Linked DNA regions of Bombyx mori. The protein of the gene in region 2 purifies or fractionates together with the protein of the main gene of each other region. This does not show direct contact. Links are inferred from orthologs where the notes say so. Each region holds a gene or a part of one and is shown on either strand. Other genes may lie near its edges. The genes, in order: S-phase kinase-associated protein and uncharacterized protein LOC101737130.

Region 1 (11,124 bases), on a different chromosome or scaffold from region 2:
GTTCACTATAACTTTTCTCATGCTGACCAAATTTGTTCTAAAATAAAGCATTATTTGTGAAGGTGTTTTTTATAAAAATGATATTAACCCTTATGCAAATAAATACGTTACCTATTTATTACGTAAATAAAATAAATGTGGCCGAATTAATAACCTTCTCCTTTAAACTCGTTTAAAAATCGTGATTTTGGTAACTTAAATAGCTCCTTAACATTCATATTCAAAAATATTTTCACCTTCTACGTAAATGAAGTCGTCGGTAAAGTTTAGCGTTGTTCCAAAGTAACTATTCCACGCGAACGAAGTCGCGAGCAAAAGCTAGTTTAATATAATTTTTTATTGCATTGTGGGACCAGTGAGATCACGATCCATCCGGTGTTAGTGTTTACCAGAGCCCATAAACTTCATAACGTGTATGCCGTTATCCATTTTGAAACATGAGGTTGAAGTCTCAATTGCGTTGTATAACGGCTGTCTCATTTATTTAAATCACAGCGCAACATCGCTTCGCCTAAGAAATAGACAGATTGATGTGTACATAATAATATGAGCTTTCTCGTGCGTTATTGCTTACTGATTAGTTTTATTATTCGTAGTTACTTATACATTTTCAATAATAAAGCCAAGCCAGCCGAGTCGCTGCCTCCTATTTCGTTTTTCGATGTTAAATCAACAAGAGGGATGAGTTCAGTGTGCTTAGTGCGAGTTTTTTAACGTTCTCGATAGCGTAAAAGTTAGCTCATATTTGTATGGAATGGAATCGTTTGCCTACGTTTGCCGCTAGGGGCGCTGTTCCAACTGCATACAAAATTGGGCTACCTTTTACGCTATCGAGAACGTTAAAAAACTTGCACCAAACACATAGGTGTGTATATCACTGAACTGGTTTTGGGTAGATTTTTTTCTTGGGCTTGCCGCAGCCTAACGTTGGGTACTGTCTTGAAAGACTTGATATAGCGCTTGGCAATCGCTGAGTAGCAGAGTTAATTCCAGATCTATATGGAAGGCGGCAAAAATGTTTGCCGAAGTTCCTGGAGTAGAGCCCTGCTTCCGCAATATGACTAACTTTGTGCATATTATATGGCAATTTTGTAGGAAAAGGTAACACCTAGTATTACAACAGAAATAATGATAGAAATCACATCGTATCAACTACCTTTGCAGTTTGACTGTGCCCGTGATATTACAACTGCATGAGCAACTACAATGACCCACGATTAAGTCAGCCATTACGCTTCTACCACCAATGACACTAAAGAAAGTCCTACGATTTTGATCTAAGGTCTACTTACAGTTTCAGCTTAAGCTAAGCAAAATAAAAAAAAATATATATATAATATAATAATTAATTAATTAATATAATAATAAAAATTTTGCTTAAATAAACGCAATGTGCTTCATTTAACATCTGGAAGGAGAGCTGAGCACCAGAGCGAAGGTCACATACTGTTGAGTGGCTTAAACTTCGAACATTTGAAGGAAGACGAAAATTATAAATACTTAGGTATAGATGAAGCAGGCAAAATAGATCATAAAAGAATTCAGGATCAGGTGAAAAGAGAGTACTTCAAAAGAGTAAAATGCATCACTAACACACAACTTAGCGCGAGAAACCTCATAACGGCCATCAACACTTATGCCACACCAGTTCTTTTATACACGTTTGGAATAATAAACTACAAAAATAGTGACTTAAACAAAATAGATATAAAGACAAGGAAGATATTCACTTTGAATAAAGCCCAACAACAAAAAGCGGATATCGAAAGACTCTATTTACCCATAGAAGAAGGAGGCAGAGGACTTATAAATATAGAAATGTTACACAAAACTCAGATTATTAAATTTAGGCAATATTTAAACAATGAACAGGACCAAATCATAAAAGCAATAGTTAAACACGATAAACATAGAGATAAACATTCAATACACAAAGATGGTAAAAATAATGCAGTAAGAATAGAATTAACAGAAAACAGAAACTACACCGATACTGAAATTAAGAAAGCAGTAATAAAGACGGGCATCAGTAAATGGAAAGAGAAACCGCTACATGGACAATTCCGTAGGTCCGTTATAGAGAAGGGTAATATAGATCGAGAGTATTCGTTCCGCTGGCTTAAGAAACAAATCGTGTCCCCCACTTTAGAATCTTCGGTATTTGCTATACAAGATCAGGCAGTAATTACGAGACAAATAGAAAGAGATATTCTAAAGAAATCTGTCGATGGTAAGTGTCGCCTATGCCTAGCAAAAGACGAGTCCATAGAGCATATAATCTCGGGATGTGAAAAACTGGCCGGCACTTACTATGTGAACAGACATAACAACATAGTAAAGTATATTTGGTGGGCAATAGGAAGAAAACACAATTTTGAATTAGACTCGCTATGGTGGAAGGTGAATTTGACTCAACCTCAGATAAAAGAAAACAGCTCCGCGAAGCTAATGTGGTAGATACCAGTGCAGCCGGACGTTACAATAAAGCACAATAGACCAGACATAATATACATAGACAAGACAGAAAATAAAACCTACTTAATAGATATAACTGTACCATCTGACTACAATATAGGACCAAAAGAACTGGAAAAACTTAGTAAATATCACCCCTTAAAAGTAGAACTAACACGACTCTGGAATACACACACAGAAACCATCCCCATAGTAATAGACGCAACAGGCGTAGTGGCAAAAAGTATACATAGATACATAAACAAACTGGAAGCAAATATAAACATACACATAATACAAAAACAAGCAGCCATACACACATGCACAATAATAAGTAAAGTTTTGGGTAATACAGTTTTCATAAATTCAAAGGGAGTCCGAACCTCCTCTTCCCTGAAGGTTTCAGGGCGGGAGCTAGGAACTAAACCGAGTCAAGAACTCGAGAGAAAACTCCTTCATAAAATAAAATAAAATAAATAAACGTCATTGTTTAATAAAATATGTAATAAAAAATTATTACATATTTTATTAAACAATGACGTTTCATAATATTGGATTTATTTCCATGTTTTATTTTTTATTATTTTTTATTGCTTAGATGGGTGGATGAGCTCACAGCTCACCTAGAGTTAAGTGGTTACTGGAGCCCATAAACATCTACAATGTAAATGCCGCCACCCACCTTGAGATGAGTTCTAAGGTTTCAATATAGTTACAACGGCTACCCTACCCTTCAAATCGAAACGCATTACTGCTTCACGCACTGCAGTAATAGGCGGGGTGGTAATTTTTTTTTCCTACCTGTGCTAATTGCCTTGAGAGGCTATTTCAGCTTCGCCTTAACGTGTATAGGTGAGTTCACGGGGCTCAAAGCTGACGACGTTTCTAACACTAACCCTAGCAAGAGCAGTGCTTCGCAGAATCTACCACCGGATGGGAAATGCGACCCATTCAAAAAGAAACTCAGTGGGCTGTTTTGCACGATGGCGGTCTGAGCACCGTGATGCGTATGTAATGTGGATCTTCATCATTCGCCTCTTTGGCTTGTATCATAATAATATTATGATCTAACCAAGAGCCTACATAAGAAACATACAAAAAACGTTTTCTTTGAATAGGCTTTCACTTTTAAATCGACATCACTTTATCGCTGATTCGGAATGCAGTATTACCCTTGAGAATAATCAACAAAGAATTTAGATCTCGCTCTTTTACAAACAAAAATAATAAAAAATTAAAGTAGCTCATTTATTCATGATGTATTAAATATATAGAAGACAAGATGTATTGAAAATTCGAATTTGAATTAGAAGAAACGTACCTGCGTTCTATGTCCGAGTACTGGTCATATATCATTGTCACTATTTGTCACCTATCCATCTGACATCATAGCTATCAACAAAATTAAATAGGTAACTATCGCATGTCCTTTAGACTTTTACACGCCAGTAGTCGTAGAAAAAACTCTATAAAGTAGTCCATAACGTAGAAAAACTACGAAACATTTTGTGCATAGGTATATGGGCCGCAAAACGTAGTCACAGGACGATAACTCTTGTATTATTTATCAATTTAAATTAATAATAATTTTATGCTTGAACAATGGATGATTACCAAATACAAAATATTTGTAGATATTCCAGGAAAACATACAAGAAAATCCGACGAGATGATTACAATGTCGATTCGCAGAGTCCCAATAACGATTTAAATACAGACACCGCAGACGTTTCTCCGAGAAGCGATGGCGGAAATGAAATTATTGTTACTGCAGAGTCTCCTCCTGGCTGTACTTGTGATTTAGAGTCGGAAGGTGAAATTGCTAATATATTACACAAGAAATGTCCTGTAATTACATTAGCGCAGCAACAACTTCAGCGCTTGTTAGATGAAACAGACAAGTTACTCTGTGACAATACAAGATGTTGTAGGTGAGTCAGACTTTATCTTAGATTTCTCTAATTGTTGTAACCTTCTTTTCCATATTCTATTATTTGAATTATACTTCGAACACATTGTCATTTTACCACCTATCATTATTATATTTTACGTGTTTTATTATACTAATGAAATACGTACTGAAGAAATGTTCACGAATGACTCCCACGATGAAGGAATAACATCGTGTAATTAAATTAAACACGAAAAAAAAATTGCCTATTTACTTTGGTAGGGCATCGTGTGAGTCCGCACAAATAGCTACCACCACCCTGCCTATTTTCTGCATTGAGGCAGTGATGCCTTTCGGCAGCCATTGTACTCTGGCACTAAGACCTTAGAACTAATTCTCAAGGTGGGTGGTAGCATTTACATTGTTGATATCTATGGGATCCAGTAACCACTTAACACCAGATGGACCGTATGCTAGTTCACCTGTCTAAGAAAAAAAAAAGTTGATTTGCTGTAGATTTAATTAGTCTTGTCATAACAATAAGTATAGATATTAAAAAAATGTATTTAAATCTAGCTTGCAATTAAGTAGTTTTTAAATTCAAAAACTAAAACATAGTTTTCTATTTCAGGTCTATTTATGATTTTTTACACTTATGCTCAGAATTAATATCCACAAAGAATAAATGTCGGTGTATATTGGTCTTTATGCTAGCTATGGTGTTTTTTGTCGGACTTGTTCTCGGTGCTGCTTCGTGCGGCTCCTACCACGGACATTTCAACAGTCCCATCATTAGTTGCATCGATAACTTCTTCATAAGTGACAGTCATTCCAACATAGAAGATACTTACCGGATCGTTGTGTGATGATTGATCAATTTATGTCACTCATTCTAACATAGAAGATACTTACCGGATCGTTGTGTGATGATTGATCAATTTATGTCACTCATTCTAACATAGAAGATACTTACCGGATCGTTGTGTGATGATTGATCAATTTATGTCACTCATTCTAACATAGAAGATACTTACCGGATCGTTGCGATGAAGGATTACCGTGAAACAAAAGTCAATCCGAAAAACATATATTTTTGCGTAATTACTAGTGGTAGGGTGTCATGTGAGCCCAAACGGGTGGGTAGCACCATCCTGCCTATATCTGCCGGGAAGCGGTAAGGCGTTTCGGTTTGAAGGGTGTGGGAGCCGTTGTATTGTAAAAACTGAGACTTTGAACTCATTTCGCAAGATGGGCGGCGGCTTGGACGTGGTTGATGTCTATGGACTCCGGTGACAACCTAACATTAGGCGGGCCATGTTCTGGACCATTCATATTAGCAATAAGAAAAAAAAATCAACGTGTAACTCCGGAATACACCACTGGGTCAGAACTAGTATGGGTCGGTGATCACGGCCATCCTTCACCCGGTTGCTCTTTCGCAAGACGCATGTACAGCTACTTATACAACCAGAAGATATTAAGAATCATATCAATCGATTGACGACAAAACCAGATCCTGCGGAAAGAATGGAAAGCAGTTGACGTCGCCCCAAGCATGTCATTTCGGATCCTCCCGATCCACTAATGGTGCTTTTAGGTACTTCAAGCACCGGTCACCGTTCTCGTCGAACCCGTCGCTTTCGACGAAGGGCTCGACGAGTAAATTAACCCTGAGACACAGCCCATTGAGTTTCTCGCCGGATCTTCTCAGTGGGTCGCGTTCCCGATTCGGTGGTAGATTCTGCGAAGCACGGCTCTTGCTACGGTTAGTGTTAGCAACTTCGTCAGGCTTGAGCCCCGTGAGCTTACCTACTAGTTAAGGTTCCGCTGAAATAGCCTCTCAAGGCTATCAGCTTAGGTAGGAAAAAAAAGACGACAAAATATCATAAATTCATTTTCTCTACAAATGGGATTATTGGAATAGTACAGAACAATCTAAAATCTAAATGAACAACATCTAGGTACTCATTTCTTAAGAGACTTTACTGCAAGATTGTCTTGGTGTAGCCTTATGATCTTCTGTGACATCTCTAGCGTCTGATATCTTCATGGAGGACTTTGAATTTAAAACATCATCATTTGGCCCTGTTCAATACCAGATTTACAAATGGTAGATGCTCTTTCTGTTCTTTCACAGTATTATATAAGAAAAAATTAGGTAAGTCTTTAGAATTCAATTCATGATAATAATAGATCACTTTTATCATGGATTTAGTACACACAATTAATTAGCTTTTTTATTATACACATTGATTTTCAGAAATTCTAATAACACCATTAGTCAATAACTGTGTTTTGGAAACTTAACCATAATAATAGAAACTTTAATGGTGAATTCCGTTATGACCTATGGCAATTATATATTTTTGATATTTGTATTTGTAATAGAGAGCTCAAGGTAAATGTAACACAATGAGAACATTATGTAAAAAAAAAAAACCAGTGGAATGAGCTATATTCCTTGGCACTAGACCAGGAAAATGCTAACAAAAAGAAGAAGGAATGTGTCTTTTTTTTTTTTTTCGGGTAGAGGGCCGAACCTCCTACGAGGTCCCCGCGCAAAAGGGGCGCGCGGGGTATGTGAGACTACGATCTGCATGGTGTTGTGAACAGACCGCGGGCCCAAGGATTTTAGGGCCCACCCACTAAACGACTCCCCTGCACTCTTACACCCGACGTCCGATCCCCTCCGAGGTCAGAACCCGGATGAGGTAGGGGCGTTACCGCGGTCAACACTACAACCAGACGGCGCGGCTAACCCCAAGGACGCCCAGCCGACGGAGCCTTCGAGGCGAATCGAAGGCTCTGAAACGTCGGCCGTCTCGGTACGGCAGCCCGTCGGGCCGCCCAGACGGTGCCGCTGGTGTCCCGGAATACCCCGCTGGACCAAAACCAGCCTGCCGGGTCGGGACGCGATACACCGTCGACCGGTCGCTCTATTTACTGCTATATTGTTCCTGCTGTACATCAAGGGAGGTAGAGAGAAGATAGCAACCTCATACATTGGATAGCATTGGAGTAACACGCACATTTAGTTACGAATTAAGGAAAATATTGCAGATGTCAAACCCAACATAAGTCTGATTTATTTTAACATACTCTGGACAGTGCTAATAGTGAAATTTAACATGGCTCAATACACCCTAAACAATCCTTAATTCCATAAATAGCTCATGAAGCTATTGTAAATAAAAGGAAAAAAGGTTGGATCAGAAAAAAAGTAATCATCTGACTATTACATGAAACCCCAAGTCAAACAAACTATGAGACCTAAACATTATGTTCTATGAAAAGGAGAGAATAAATAATTGATAATTATTATTAATTATTTTTTTTCATTTGTAATGATATTTTATTATTAAAATAATAATGATTGTAAACAATAAATAATTGCCAATAAGATTTTTTTCATTACAAATTTTATAGTTTACTTGCACCTCTTATCCATGACCACAAAAACTGTTAGATTTTGAAACTGAAATTATAAATTGATAATAATATACTCAAGATAAACTGTAAAAGTAGTTTTTTAATTATAAAAATTACAATCCAACAAAAAATAATCACCTTTAAAATTTTGTTTTACATAGCATACAATGTAGCACAATATAAATTAAATTGCTGGAACTCACTTCCAGTTTCTTTTGAAAGAGGCAGACGGACATTTCTGACTATGGGTTCATATACTAAGCTTTAAAAGTAATTTTAATGACAAATATCTAAGAGGAAAAAATTGTTTCATATATATTATTTTCATTTGTTATGCTGATGGTTTAATTCTATCTTAGCATCAGGAACTGACTAAGGGAATGTGGTTATCAAATACATACATATACAGTGAAAATCTATTATAACAACATCGAAGGGACTGCTCATATTCAGTCGTAACAACCAGTGATGTTTAATGTGTATCGTGCAAGTACAAACAAAGTACAAACAAATCGATAGTGAATTATTGGAAAAATATATTTACACAAAACGCAATTTTTCTTTGTTATTAATTTGTTTTTTTTCTTTGCAACATTTTGAAAGTTTCACGAATAACTCCACAAAGTTTTGGTGTGTCTTGTGTATAGATAAGTAACAAACTAACTGAAAAGATATGAAGAAGTGGGCTTTGACTCTACCGCATACACATTTTTGTTTCTAAGAATTAGAAAAGACCCTACACTAAACAAAATCCTATTGTTTTCTTTCCTGATTTTAATAGCCATTGAAGACAAATGTGGATACCTATTCAAATTGTTTACAATACAGCTTAGCCGGTCGTTCTAACAGATCTAATTCTCCGAAATATTAGTTAAATGTGGTCATTTTATTAGGTATGTCGGTATTAGCAATGTCGTATAAAGCAATGTTTTTAATAAGGCGGTCATATAGCATTCAGCCGGGACCTTTGTTCTAGGTTATTATAACCAGCATGTTGCTCAAAATGATGTCGCAGTAAACGGTTGTGACTGTATATTTATTTACTTTTTGTATTGACATTGATGGTGACAAACTTATTTTTGTGGTTTAACATTGCAATGGATACTGGCAATTTCTGGACACAATCAAGACTACCCACACAATTAGTTAAAAAATAAGCAGATGACAAAAATTTAAGTCAGTGATTTATGCTAATTATTTCTATTTCATAAAGTAAATTTTCCAATAAATATAATACAATTAAAGTTAAATGAAAAGTAATTTAAATGATAATATGAAAATTTAAATTTTATTGAAAATCACAATGACATGATGTACCTATTTTTATATAATTTACAACACAAACAAATTTACTTGGTTTAAATTAATTATTCTTTATTGCCATGGGAAAAATAGTTTAATGTTGCATACATAGTGATAATACATAAAGATGCTTGCAAATAGCATTTATTATGGTTTACTTTTCTTCACACCATTCATTCTCTTTACGAACCTGATCTTCTTCTGCAGCAGTGAAATCATTCTTAATGTTGAACGTTTTACGGATTTCTTCAGGAGTCTTTCCTTTGATCATGTTTGCTACAGTTTTACATGTGACATCTAATAAACCCTTGATGTCCAAATAATTTGCAGCTAATATTAATTCAAAGAGTGTGCCTTGGTCAACTTTCAAAAAATCAGCATCCCATGATGATATGTCATCAGTCCTCTTTTCCTTGTTTTCGTCATCTTCTGGTAGCGGAGGATCGTCTTTATGATAAGTAGCCCACTGAATAACTTTTTTGAGTATTGCAGAATTGACATTAGGTAAAGGTACAACTTCCTCTTCATCCTCTTCCATGCCTAAGTCTTCTAGCATAGTTTTGATAGTTACGGAGCATTTGGCGATTTCAACATCAACAACGAAGACCTCGTTGTCTGATGATTGCAACTTAATATTTGGCATCTAGAACAAAAGAGCGGTGGGAACGTAAATCATAAAACGACGGCTGAGAATAAGACGCCATTTTCCAATTTATAAATAGCGAAGTATTTACCTTGTTTTTTCAAGTATTTGAATGTTCACAATTAAGTGAAATTTATTTATCTTCAAACGAAAATGCCCTTATGTTCTGGAGATTTTTCCTTAAACCCAAACAGTGAATCAATGAGTGAACGAATGAATAAAATCATTAATCAATTTTGTTTTTTTTTCTGCTTTCGTTTAAATTTTTCTAAGGGATTTTATGACCTGGTAACTAAGACCTTTAGGTCATGTCTTTTTTTAATTTATATTCAGATTTTTATAAATTTTTTATTATGGAGTGAAATGAAATGAAGATGATTAATTTGAGACATTAATCAACTGGGATGAAATTAAATGAAATGAGTTGATATGGTATGAAATATAATCTCAGTAAAATGGTGGTTATTTACTAAGATTTTTTCAGTGGACTTTTTGGAGGAACTCGAGAAGTTACGTCCAGCAGCTTTGTTTCATTTTCCCACTTTTGTGCACTTTCACAGATATTAAACATTTAATAAACCACCGTTATTACACATTTAAACCTGAAGAAACACTAAATAGACAAAATAAAACAAATCACACAACTTCACTCCTCGCGCTCCCGCCAAAAGTACCTCCAACACCAATTGTTTTTTAAGGGATTTTATGACCTCATAACTAAGACCTTTAAGTCATGTCTTATTTTAATTTATATTCTTATTTTTATGAAAAATGATAATATGGAGATAAATGAAATGAAATGAAGATGATTAATTTGAGAAATTAATCAACTTAGATGAAATTAAATGAAATTTGATGATATGGGATGAAATATGATCTCAGTAAAATGGTGGTCATTTACTGAGATTTTTTCAGTAGACTTTTTAGAGGAACCCGAGAACTTACGTCCAGCAGCTTTGTTTCATTTTCCCACTTTTGTGCACTTTCACAGATATTAAACAGTTAATAAGCCACCGTTATTACATATTTAAACCTGAAGAAACACTAAATAGACAAAATAAAACAAATCACACCACTTCACTCCTCGCGTTCCCGCCAAAAAGTCCCTCCAACACCAACATTCATTTCCCACCATAGATACACACTTAGTTTCCCACACAACTAAAAAAAAAAAGAAACTTGTGAATGGAGTAAAGAAGAAATCTAATATATAAAATTCTCGTGTCACAGTTTTCGTTGCCATACTCCTCCGAAACGGCTTGACCGATTTTGATGAAATTTTTTGTGCTTATCCGGTATCTATGAGAATCGGCCAACATATATTTTTCATCCCCCTAAATGTTAGGGGTAGTCCACCCCTAAATTTTTATTTTTATTTTTTAGACAAAATTTTTAATTTCTATTT
Region 2 (12,057 bases):
ACTCATCGGATACCTGCGTCGCGAGAGCGACTCACTTTCAACATCATAATCAAAGTGGGAGGCGCATTTACGTTGTACATGTTTATGGGTTCCAGTAACGGTTTAACACCAGGTGTGCTGTGAGCTCGTCCAACCGTGTAAGCAAATTTTTTTTTTTAATTATACTAACGAGTATGGCACTTGAATGTAGAGGTAGAAGACTCCGCCCTCATAGGGCGAGCCGACAGGTCCGGTGACGCTCGCCTGCCAGTGGCAACACTTCGGGTCCAGCGGAGTCGCCGCTATGCCTTCCGGAGGATCGTTGCGTAGCATCTGCGAATCAAAAGAAAAATATTTACTTTAACCAAAAGTAAATTTGAAAACTTTTTAGATGAGTTCATTGTATGCTCATATGCTTAATTACATATATAATCAGGTCAGTGGTCCCACTATACGCCTCGTTGTGATAGCTGTAAGCTTCTGTAACAACACAACTAAAAGTAGCTCACTTGTCATTCAGCCATCTTAAACATCTTTTTTTTTACTAAAGTTATTTATTTTAATCGTTTCTTTTCATTTTAACCGTACGCGATCGAGCATTCCATTCCATATATGTATATCGATATCCATTCGATATGCATTTCCAAATGCATGTCTTTCTTGAATGAACTTTTTGAAATGAGAAACCCGGGCAGCGGTCTGTCTATGGCGCTGATATTGCCGATGTCTATGAGCACCCTTAACCACTTATTAATTGTGCAAATTGACCTGAATGGTACGCATTGAATAGTAGGCAGCGGCTTGTTCTGCTCCTGGCATTGCTGATGTCCATAAGCGACGGTAACCACTTAAGCTGTATGCTCGTGTACCTAGAAAGGCAATAAAAAAACCCGAATTAAATTTGACTGTCTATTAGAACTGCATTCAAAGATGACATGAAATTTTTTTTATTGCTTAGATGGGTGAACGAGCTCACAACCCACCTGGTGTTAAGTGGTTACTGGAGCCCATAGACATCTACAACGCAAATGCGCCACCCACCTTGAGATATAAGTTCTAAGGTCTCAGTATAGTAACAACGGCTACCCCACCCTTCAAACCGAAACGCATTAGGGGCCATCCATAAAGTACGTCACACGTTAATGGGGAGGGAGGGTATCACCGAAGTGTGACATCGTGTGACAAGGGGCATGAGGGGGTCAATACTTTTGTGACGTCACATGTTAAAATTTAAAATACTAAAACGCAAAGTTTGTATGTGAATTAAAAATTTTAAAAATTTACAAACTTGATCTATATTTATTAATAATAATAAATAATTAAAAATGAAGTGCCTGATTTACCAGTAATAGCTGATATAAAAGAGTGGATCCAAAGTCCATGGACACTCGATAATTAAGTTTTTTTATCTTTAATTAATATAATTAATCGTTTATTATTTTCTAACTAGTCGTTTGTTTTTTCGGTTTTATGAAATGTTGGACTTTATGTTGATTTTATTAGATTATTATTTAATAAAAATAAGTAAAAAATGAAAATAGCTGTTTTCTCTCGATTATTTTTAAATACATACATAAATTTAAAAAATGTGTGACGTCACATCAGGAGGGGGGGGTTATAAAAATGTGACAACCTGTGACAAGGAGGGGGGGAGGGGTTCAAAAGTCCTAAAATTCGTGTGACGTACTTTATGGATGGCCCCTTACTGCTTCACGGCAGAAATAGGCGGGGTGGTGGTACCTACCCGTGCGGACTCCCAAGAGGTCCTACCACCAGTGATTACGCAAATTATAATTTTGCGGGTTTGATTTTTATTACACGATGTTATTCCTTCACCGTGGAAGTCAATCGTGAACATTTGTTGAGTACATATTTCATTAGAAAAATTGGTACCCGCCTGCGGGATTCGAACACCGGTGCATCGCTACATACGAATGCACCGGACGTCTTATCCTTTAGGCCACGACGACTTCGAGTTTGTGTTTATAATTGTAAATTTAAGTGCTGTTCTAATTACTACAATAATAATATAAAGTGATGAAAAGTATTAAATGATACCTGTAAAGTTTATAAATAAATCATTACATATATAAATAATCAGAACATAGGACCGTTTGCTTTAACAGAAAAACTGCCTTAAATACTCAGTATGAAGACTTAATGAAAACGACAGAAGGTAACTGACTCCCTACAACTCTATTCCAGAGAATAGTAGAGCAGGTTTCCACTGTGGCTAAAATAACATAATCACATTAATAGAATTTCAATTGAAACATGACTAAAACATTTTTCTGTCTGAATTTTGAAATCAGAGATTTAAATTTTTATTATAGTTCGAATTAGCTGTCTACTCCCATCTCAGTCTTTCTACATAATCAAATAAGTAATTCAGTCACGCTTGGCCAAAGTATATATTTTCTGCTTTTGTTTATCACAAAATCCCTTTGCTGCTGACTACTAACATAATGGGGTACAATGCATTTTAACATAAAATTACTTTTAAGCCGACTTAACCCAATAGGTGTATGGCTCTAATAAAGAATTAAAAAAGAAAAAAACTTTTAATATTTACCTTGAGTTCTATCCTAAGCCTGTTTCTCCTCCAAGCGTTTTCCTCTCCGGCCGGCTGAGCTTGTACACACATTTGCACCAGACAGTTACGGCAGAAACATGACTCCACTAGAGATTGATACTTCTAAAAATATATATAAAAGTTTAGTAAACTGACATTAGTTATATACATTTCCACGTCAAAAACTACATCTTAATAAAGATTCAAGATTCATTGCAGCAGTAATGTATTTAAAAAAAAAAGTAGGTCACAAACAATTGATTTGAGAAAGCGGCTTAATCCCGAGTACAATCAAAGTCAGAAATTATATTAAAATCAACAAACTGAACTTGTCAAAGTATTTTAATCAAGTAGAGATTGACGAACAATTTGAACCGAAACTACATTTCACCCATTTATATATTTCATTAATCCATACATAATTGAATTATATTAAATAAACTTATTTTATGATAAACTTTTTTTTATATATGATTTTTTACAATTAAGCTTGGAATAAGTATTTTTTCTCCTACCGACGCCGAAAGTTCGGTTTGCGTCCTGCTGTACAGAGAAGAAAGTGTGACTTTTCCTCCCTGGATACTGACAAGTGCGCATGCGCGTTAGTATCTGCGTCTGCTCTTACGCACCTAAAATTCTCCGCCATTGTTGTGCTCGGGTAATTTGCAATCTTGTGCTTAGTGTAAAAGTGAAATAAACAAAAGGCAAAAAAATTTAATAGTGAAGTATTAAACAAATATGAGTTCATCAGACAGTTCTTATTCAATTAGTAGTTGTTTATTTAAAAATTCAAAAACAGTTAAATTGTTTTTTTTATGAGTTGCGCGTGTTTTTATCCCGCGTGTTTACCACCCTCGGCTTCGGCTCGGGTGGCAATTTTACACGCGGGAGGAAATGCCCAACTTTTCTCTCTTGGCGCACAATGTACTATATTATTATCATCTTCATTACCTTGTGCCAGTCGGTGTGCGTGGCGAGTGGACGATAGAGTGGCCAACGAGCGGCCGCGAAGTCCTCCCACCGTCCTGGACACACCCGGGCTCGTACCAGCCTCCACCATCGCGTGCACACACAAGAACAGGCGCATAGCGACAAATCGTCCAGGTAACTGAAGATGCACAACAACACTGAAAACAATAATAAATACGAATGTAGGAACATGGCTAGCTGGCAATGAATAGCATGATGCCTTCCTGTGGCCGTCGTAAGAGTCGACTAAGGGACGTCGTAAAAGTCGACTAAGGGGCGTCGTAAAAGTCGACTAAGAGGCGTCGTAAAAATAGACTAAGGAATTCACCGGAGAATAGGCAACAGAATTCCAATTATACCAGCATGCTGCCATGGCCGACCGTTATTGACTGGTGGTAGAGCGTATTCTAAGCCAATATGGGAAAAACACCATGCGCTGCCAGAATATACTTGGCCTCAAGAAACATCAAAAAGCATGAATTCGTTCACACGTCTACTCAATGTTAAAATGCCTCTTTGTGTGTTTTTAGCCATATCACAAGAGAACGTTTTGAAATCGTCATGGCCTAAAGGATAAGACGCCCGGTGCAATCGTATCTAGCGATGCACCGGTGCGCGAATCCCAAAGGCGGGTACCAGTTTTTGTAATGAAATACGTACTAAACAATTGTTCACGATTTACTTCCACGGTGAAAGAATAACATCGTGTAATAAAAATCAAACCTGCAAAATTATAATTTGCGTAATTACTTATGGTGGGGCGTATTATAAGACCTCATGGGTAGCTACTACCACTCTGCCTATTTCTGCAGTGAAGTACGGCATTTCGGTTTGAAGGATGGGGCAGCCATTATACTATAAAACCGTGACATAGAACTCTTGTTGCAAGGTGGGTGGCGGCATTTTCGTTGTAGATGTCTATGGGATCCCGTGACCACTTAACATCAGTTGGGCCGTAAGCTCGTCCACCCATCAAAGTTCTAAAAAAAAGAAACTATTGGGTTGAAATGGCTAATATACCTTCTGATGGTAAATGTTCAACTAGTCCTGGAGCTAAATTATCAGGTGGCCGTGGTGTTGAAAGGGCGTGTAAAGATCGCGCAAGACTCGGAATTGGTGGAGGAGGCGGTGGGGGTGCTTGCACCGCACGGTCTGACATTGAACTGCTACTGCTTGCACCCGGGCCTGAGTTGCTAGCCCTGCTTACCTCATCTTCAGGACTTGTCTCACTGTCTAACGAGTTCTAAAAAAATACCTTCTATTTACTATATAAAATATTTCATGATAAAATGATATTACACTAATCAACTTAATAACAAACTATGCTATTTTATTAGTATAATTAAAGATTAATTTCAGAAAAAATAAATATTAGATTGTTCTCTTGGTAGGGCACATGGTAGCTAGCATCATCAGAGAACAAAACAGTACTTAACAAATGTTCACGATTGACTTCCACAGTGAAGGAATAACATCGTGTAATAAAAATCAAACCCGCAAAATTATAACTTGCGTAATTACTCTTGTGAGTCCGCGCGGGTAGATACCACTGCCCTGCCTATTTCTACCGTGAAGTAGTAATGCGTTTCGGTCTGAAGGGTAGAGCAGCCGTTGTAACTATACTGAGATCTTAGAACTTATATCTCAAGGTGGATGGCGCATTTACGTTGTAGATGTCTATGGGCTCCAGTAACCACTTAGCACCAGGTGAGCTGTGAACTCGTCCACCCATAAAGCAATAAAAAAAAAAGTTCTGACTAAAAACATATCAACCGCTGTAACTATAAAATCTACATTTTTAACTAGATGTAGTTTATAGCTCTAAATTTTAAAAATTGAATTTTAATCCATCCGTCAGCAGTGGATATTGTAGTTGCTGATGTTTCTATCACAATGTTAGTGCCATTAACAGTTGACAGAAAGAAATCAAAGTTTGAACCTATATACCTAAAAATTTTAATTACAGATAAATCAGAGAGCAACGGCACACTTTTATTTGAATTCATTTACTTACCCTATAATACCACCAAGCTGGCAATGTACATGTTCTATGTAACCTCCTTTCAGAGCTGTAGTTGAGATCCGAAGGTTCATCATTGCCAGAATCACCATCATCTGTTTTTTCAGTACAGAAGTAGGAAGTTGGAAGGTATGATGGAAAATCAGGGAATAGAAAAGCATGGCAAGTGACGCAGACTGGTTCCCCAAAACTAGGGCCATAATATCCATTACAGACATGACATGTTGAATTCTGAAAAACATGTAATATGTATGAATTATGTTATAAGTATTGATGCTTGTATGGAATTTTTTTAATATTTTCAAATTTCGATAAGCAAGTATTTTTCAAATACTAATTAAAACAAAAGTATAGTCCCCAGCACGTAACTTAGCAAGAGTCGTTAGATGCACAGAAGTCGTTATTCTTTTAAATTTGTTTGTAATGCCAGGACCAAATACCAATGACCATATAGTCGATTCAGTCACTGAGCGTTTTATTATTTACGCCAGTGACGACAGCGACGCTTTGTTATGTTAACGATGAAGAGCCAACTCCTTCCACCAGCTCAGGTGCTACCATAAATTTAATCCAAGGGGTAGCACTATTAGAAAATGATAGTAACGACGGCGACACATAATTTTTAATATTAAGTATATTTTTTTAAATAAACTCCTTACCTTTTAATTGTATTTTATTTATAACAACTAATACACTTCACGAATTCCTCTCTTTTCTTTAACTTTCTTCTAAGCACACAGGCTTAAAAACAAATTATGGCAAATAAAAAATAAAATAAAATAAAATAAAATTATATGCGGGCAATAAAAGTGACCATATTTTTGTTGCAATGTGCACTATGCGCGACATTACCCCCACTACACCAAAACCTTGCCAACTTACGTGCCGCTTACTATACTATTGTTTTGTCCCAAACTCTCATTGTAGGTGTTAGGATGGCATCAAGGAAATAATGAAATTATGTTTAGCAATATATTTAAAACATGCCAACAAGCAAACAAACAAATCTAAATTTTTTTACTATGGCAAATTTAAAAAATCATTGATTCCTATTTGGTGTCTTGTCTTAATATTTTTTAGTTAATAACAATGTGCAATACAATAGACATGAAATTATAAGGGTTTGTCCTCACCTTTGAACCCTCTAGGCATTGCAAAGATTTTCTAGAAAACTATAATTCCTATTTTCTTCTCAATTTAACCTGGCCCTGAAGAGACCACTTGAAAACTTTTGCAATGTTAGAAAATTAGAGAAACCATTTTTCTTAGTTGTCCAGTGAAGTTTGCTTTTATTTCAATTAGTATTACAATGTTGAAAAATCAAGTAGAATATAAAATGTACCAGGGTGTAAAGTTTATTTTTATTGTAGTGTTTACTGTAAAAACCTAATGTTATATTTAAGAAATCAGTATTTTACTCACATCATACTCAAAATCAAATGGTTGTTCATATGAAGTCACTAGTTTGTCACAGTTATCTTCTAACTTCTTTATATAGTCAATGAATTCCGGACCTATAGCAGTCATTGCTGGCACTTGATGATGTATTAATTTTACACTTGAACTTTTGCAGTTTTACAGACTTCGCAGGCAGGATTTTATTTAGGTATTTATTTAATTAATACAAAGCCTAAATTCAGTTTCCTTACTGTTTATTCATAAAAATAAATTATAGTGTTTATCTGTGATTTTCTTCTTCTTCTTTATTTTTTGTCTCCGGCACGGTTTGTGCATTAGCCAGTGTCAAGTATTATGATTTCTATAATTATGAATAGTAAAAAACGAAGGAAACTGTTCATGTTGGCCATTATTAATATCAGTGTAATAGCCTCTCATCAGCCTACAGAAACCAATCCCCTCAAATTTAACCGTCCAACAAAGTTGATTAATATTACGAAACATGGTATGAAATAAAATGAAATGAGATGAGATGGGGATGAAACATAATCTGGATAAAATGGTGGTCATTTACTGAGACTTTCTCAGTGGACTTTTTGGAGGATCCCAAGAAGTTACGTCCAGCGGCTTGGTTTCATTTTCCCACATTTGGGCACTTTCACAGATACTAAACAGTTACTAGACTTTCACAGATACTAGACAGTAAACAGTTAATAAACCACCGTTATTACACATTTAAACCTGAAGAAACACTAAATAGACAAAATAAAACACTTAACCGATCAATACCGCTATAGGTATACGGGAGCTCTCTTCTTCGACGTGGCAAAAGCGTTCGACCAAGTCTGGCACAACGGTTTGATTTTGAAACTATTGCTCGGGATTTCTTGTCAAACCGCTTTTTTTGATTTCGAGGCGAGGGAACCCGCTTCTCCCCGCGACCGCTCACGACTGAAGTCCCGCAGGGCTCGGTCCTCTCACCGCTTCTATTTAATTTTAATTTAGTTTATTCGTCAACGATATTGCCCGGTCGCCGCCAACCTTACGAGTGAGCTTTATTCGCCGACGACACGGCTTTATGCTATTCGAGTAGAAACAAGTCCCTAATCGCGAGGAAACACGTCGTTCCGAAAACGGTGCATAAACATCAACCCAGCGAAAAGCACTGCGATGCTATTTCAAAGGGGAAACTCCACGCGGATTTCCGCCCGAATTAGGAGGAGGAATCTCACACCCCCGATCACCCTCTTCGGCCAACTTCGGTCAATCGCCTGGGTGTCACCCTGGATGCATCCATGACATTCCGCCCACATATAAAATCAGTCTGCGATCGTGCCGCGTTTATTCTCGGCAGGCTCTACCTCATTGTCTGTAAACGGAGTAAAATGTCCCTTCGGAAAAAGGTGACACTTTAGAAAACTTGCTTACAGCCTGTCATGCCTTACGCGACTGTGGTGTTTGCTCACGCGACCCACACACACACACACACACACACACACAGACACCCTCCAATACCTACAATCTCGTTTTTGCAGATTAGCCAGGGCCGGGACAGTAGCCTACAAACATATTTTATAAAACACAGTCGCGCCATCTAATACACCGCTCTTAAAACTAAGCCACATAATAGTTCATCAAAAAGTGTAAGATGGCATTGCCACTCCATCGCATAGTTACCGACAGTCAGTGACAACGCTACGACAGTTTTCAAGTTGTCAGATTTGAGTGACACAAAATGGCGATTGCAATTTGCGTATGCGCGTGTTTGTAGTTTTCGTTGCGTTTTGTGATAAATTCTGTTTTCTTCGTGTTTGTGATACTCCAGATAGTGTGTGTAGTCGAGCTCCGTGTTCCTCCGCGCTTCTGTGAAGTTTATATCATAAATTCATAGATTTTGTGTGCCGGCCTGCCGGCTACTGACCGGGAGACGTTCGTGATAAGACGCTATCGCTATTTGTGTTGGTTTTGCGGAATAGACGCTCAAGTGTATACTTTCTCTGTGCTCTTAATATTACTTCGACACGATGCCGAGACGCTGTATATTAAAATGTGCACCAGAACCTGGTAAGCTTCTATACTTATACAACTTCTAGAATAATTCAGTTTCAAATGTCCAAATCAATAATACCAAATGGATTCAGCCCAACTGCTACCAAATTTATAAATTAAATAAAATTGCCCAAAGAATTTATGTTAACATCGAATGTTTGTACAGGTTACGAATCTTGGATAAAGTTGTCTTGATGTGTTTTTTGTACTTTGCTGTTAATAATAATTTAGAGCTGAATTATAGCAATAGAAGTAGCATAATGAAATCCCTTATACACTAGATAATCAATTGTCTCTGACAGTGCTTACCGGTTGTTATCAACAGTATATACATATCGTACTTAATTTTTTCAGGTGTAAGGTTTCACGTATTTCCCAGCCTAGAGAGTAAACCTGAACGTTTTAAGGCATGGGTTCAAGCAATTGGAGGTAAACTGGATACCCCAGAGGACTATGAATACTACAGAAACCAACGCATATGTGATCGGCATTTTGCAAAAGAAAATAAAAACCGATACAATCGTGTGGACGCTTTGGGAGTTCCATCGCTTCATTTAATCGGTAAAAAAAGTTACTTACTGTGTTACTGTAGTAACTAGTTTTAACAGATATATAGATTCTTTTTACTTTTACAGAAACTGATCTGGGAGAAAGAGAAAAAAATTCTTTAGGAGTAAGCTTTGCCTCCTCAGTACAAGAGACATTGAATTTGGATGTTATTGAACCTACAACTTCCAATGTCCTAGTTGAAGGTTTGTAAATCTTTGAACAAGAAAAATTGGAATTAATCATAATCATGATTGAACTATAATAATAAAAACAATGCAGAGAATCTAATTTGAAATTTAGATATTAATATAATTTTATACCTATGTATCTTGCACTTGAGTTTTGAAGCTTAGTGTACGAAAGGGTGCATAAGGGTTTATTTATTTAAATATACTTAATTGTACATCAAGATACTTAAATGTCACAATGGGCGAGCCTTATAGCTTAATTTATATTTATACAGGGTTACAGGCTAAGTCAACCTATTCCCGTTAAGGGCCTGTAATTTACATAGTTTCTGACTGATTTGACTATGAAGCCCCCTATCATAAAACTAACCAATTTAAAGATATTTGAATTTAAATACAAAAAAAAACCCAATTTTTTGCTATCAGCTTAGATATTTTGAAATGCATAAGTATAATTATTATTAGTACTTGATTTTTACTTGTAAAATAAGATGCCGTATGACCCCTATAACCAATATTGTATGTAAAATGAATAAATAAGTCACAGGCGATTAAAACTTATAAACGCGAATAAAAAATAGATTTTTTTTCTTTCAAGGATATCTAGAAACAATATTATCGCGCCTGTTTGGCAGATGTGCTTAACAATATCTACGTTTCATCAGCTATCCAACGAGGTATAACAATCTAGGGTTTAAATAAAACATCATAGAAAAAAAATTAGTTGCGAGCCCCCAGGTAGCAGTTCTAACAGTCCCTCGCCAATAATAATTCTCCTTCAAGGTTAATGCGGTGCGCTTTGTAAAACAATGCGAAGATGTGTGCAAAACGGGCAGACATGTTGAATATGAAATTTAGACTTAAGATGTTTTTTTGGAACTTGAAAGTTTAATAAACTTAGTATCTTGTACATATTCACTTATTGTTTTGTTTAGCCTCTCCTGTAGCCTATAAAACTAAGTGTTTTCTACAAATTTTTGATAAAAACCTAGATCGTTATACCTTGTTAGATAGCTGATGAAACATAGATATTGTTAAGTACATCTGCCAAACAGGCGCCATAATATTTTTTTTAGATATCCTTGAAAGAAAAATTAACTTTTATTATTATTATTTTTAAAAATTAATTTTTAATTGGTTTCTATAAGTTTTAATTATCTACATAGACTTATTTATTCATTTTACATACAATATTGGTTACAGGGGTCATACAGCATCTTATTTTACAAGTAAAAATCAAGTAATAATGATAATTAGGCTAATGCATTTCAAAATATCTAAGCTGATAGCCAAAATTTGGGTAATTTTATAAAAAACAATTATATTCAAATATCTCTAAATTGGTTAGATTGATGATAGGGTGTTTCATAGTCAAATCAGTCAGAAACTATGTAAACTACATGCCCTTAACAGGAATAGGTCGACGTAACCCTGTATATATATTATAGCCCATACTACTTGCTGATAATGTAGCTTTCATGAAGAAACAAATTCTAATCACAAATTTCAGAGCTATTACATTCTTAGGTTTTCAGTTCTAATATCTATTTAATTTTTTTACTTCCAGATATGATGACACGGAACAATCGTTTATCCTTGCGAAAATATAATATGTACCAAAGTCAAATCAAACAATTAAGGAAAAGAGTGAACACTTTTCAAAAAAGAGAAGATAACTTCAGGACAAGATTAGCAAATGCTGAAAAGATTACTGATGAATCTGCATTTAAAAGGATTGCCAAAAATATGACTCTGCCTGCAAAGATTTTTACGAATATGCAGTTTCGCACTACGTCAAAAAAACCGTCGGGCAGGAGATTTCTATTAGAAGAAAAAGTGCTATCATTAACACTCTACAAAAGAAGTCCCAAATGTTATTCAATGTTGTCCAGGTATTTTTCTTTACCAGCGCCTAAAACTTTGAAAAGACTTCTCAGTGAAATTAAATTGGGCCCTGGTATCAATACGATTGTTATGGAAAAATTAAAGAAAACTGTTAGTGAGCTCACCATGGAAGACCGCTTGTGCACTTTAATTTTTGATGAGATGTCTATAACCCCTCAGCTGCATTATGATGCAGCAAAAGACCAATTAAAAGGGTTCACAAGCCATGGACACAAATTAGCAGATCATGCCTTAGTTTTTATGGTGAAAGGCATAAAAAAAACTACAAGCAACCTGTCGCCTACTATTTTACCAACAGCCTCCAATCAGTTGAGTTAAAAACATTTATTACAGAAGTTATTGAAAATGTACACAAGACTGGACTCATGATACTCTGTACCATCTGTGACCAAAGCACAGTGAATGTGAGTGCTGTTAATAGTTTAGTT

The links.
Region 1: the proteins of uncharacterized protein LOC101737130 (region 2) and S-phase kinase-associated protein purify together in Drosophila melanogaster (affinity purification with western blotting; 3 studies listed by BioGRID, with this or other methods). This does not show direct contact. The link is inferred for Bombyx mori from reciprocal best matches to the Drosophila melanogaster genes morgue and SkpA.

Annotation. Positions count from the first base shown.
Region 1 is NC_085119.1:7,149,946-7,161,069, reverse strand, and holds S-phase kinase-associated protein, read right to left. Parts: upstream 9,958-11,124; 5' UTR 9,811-9,957; intron 9,720-9,810; coding exon 9,231-9,719; 3' UTR 8,551-9,230; downstream 1-8,550.
Region 2 is NC_085125.1:4,946,838-4,958,894, forward strand, and holds the start of uncharacterized protein LOC101737130, read right to left. Parts: upstream 7,285-12,057; 5' UTR 7,068-7,284; coding exon 6,963-7,067; intron 5,772-6,962; coding exon 5,535-5,771; intron 4,764-5,534; coding exon 4,541-4,763; intron 3,679-4,540; coding exon 3,503-3,678; intron 2,675-3,502; coding exon 2,552-2,674; intron 313-2,551; coding exon 170-312; intron 14-169; coding exon 1-13.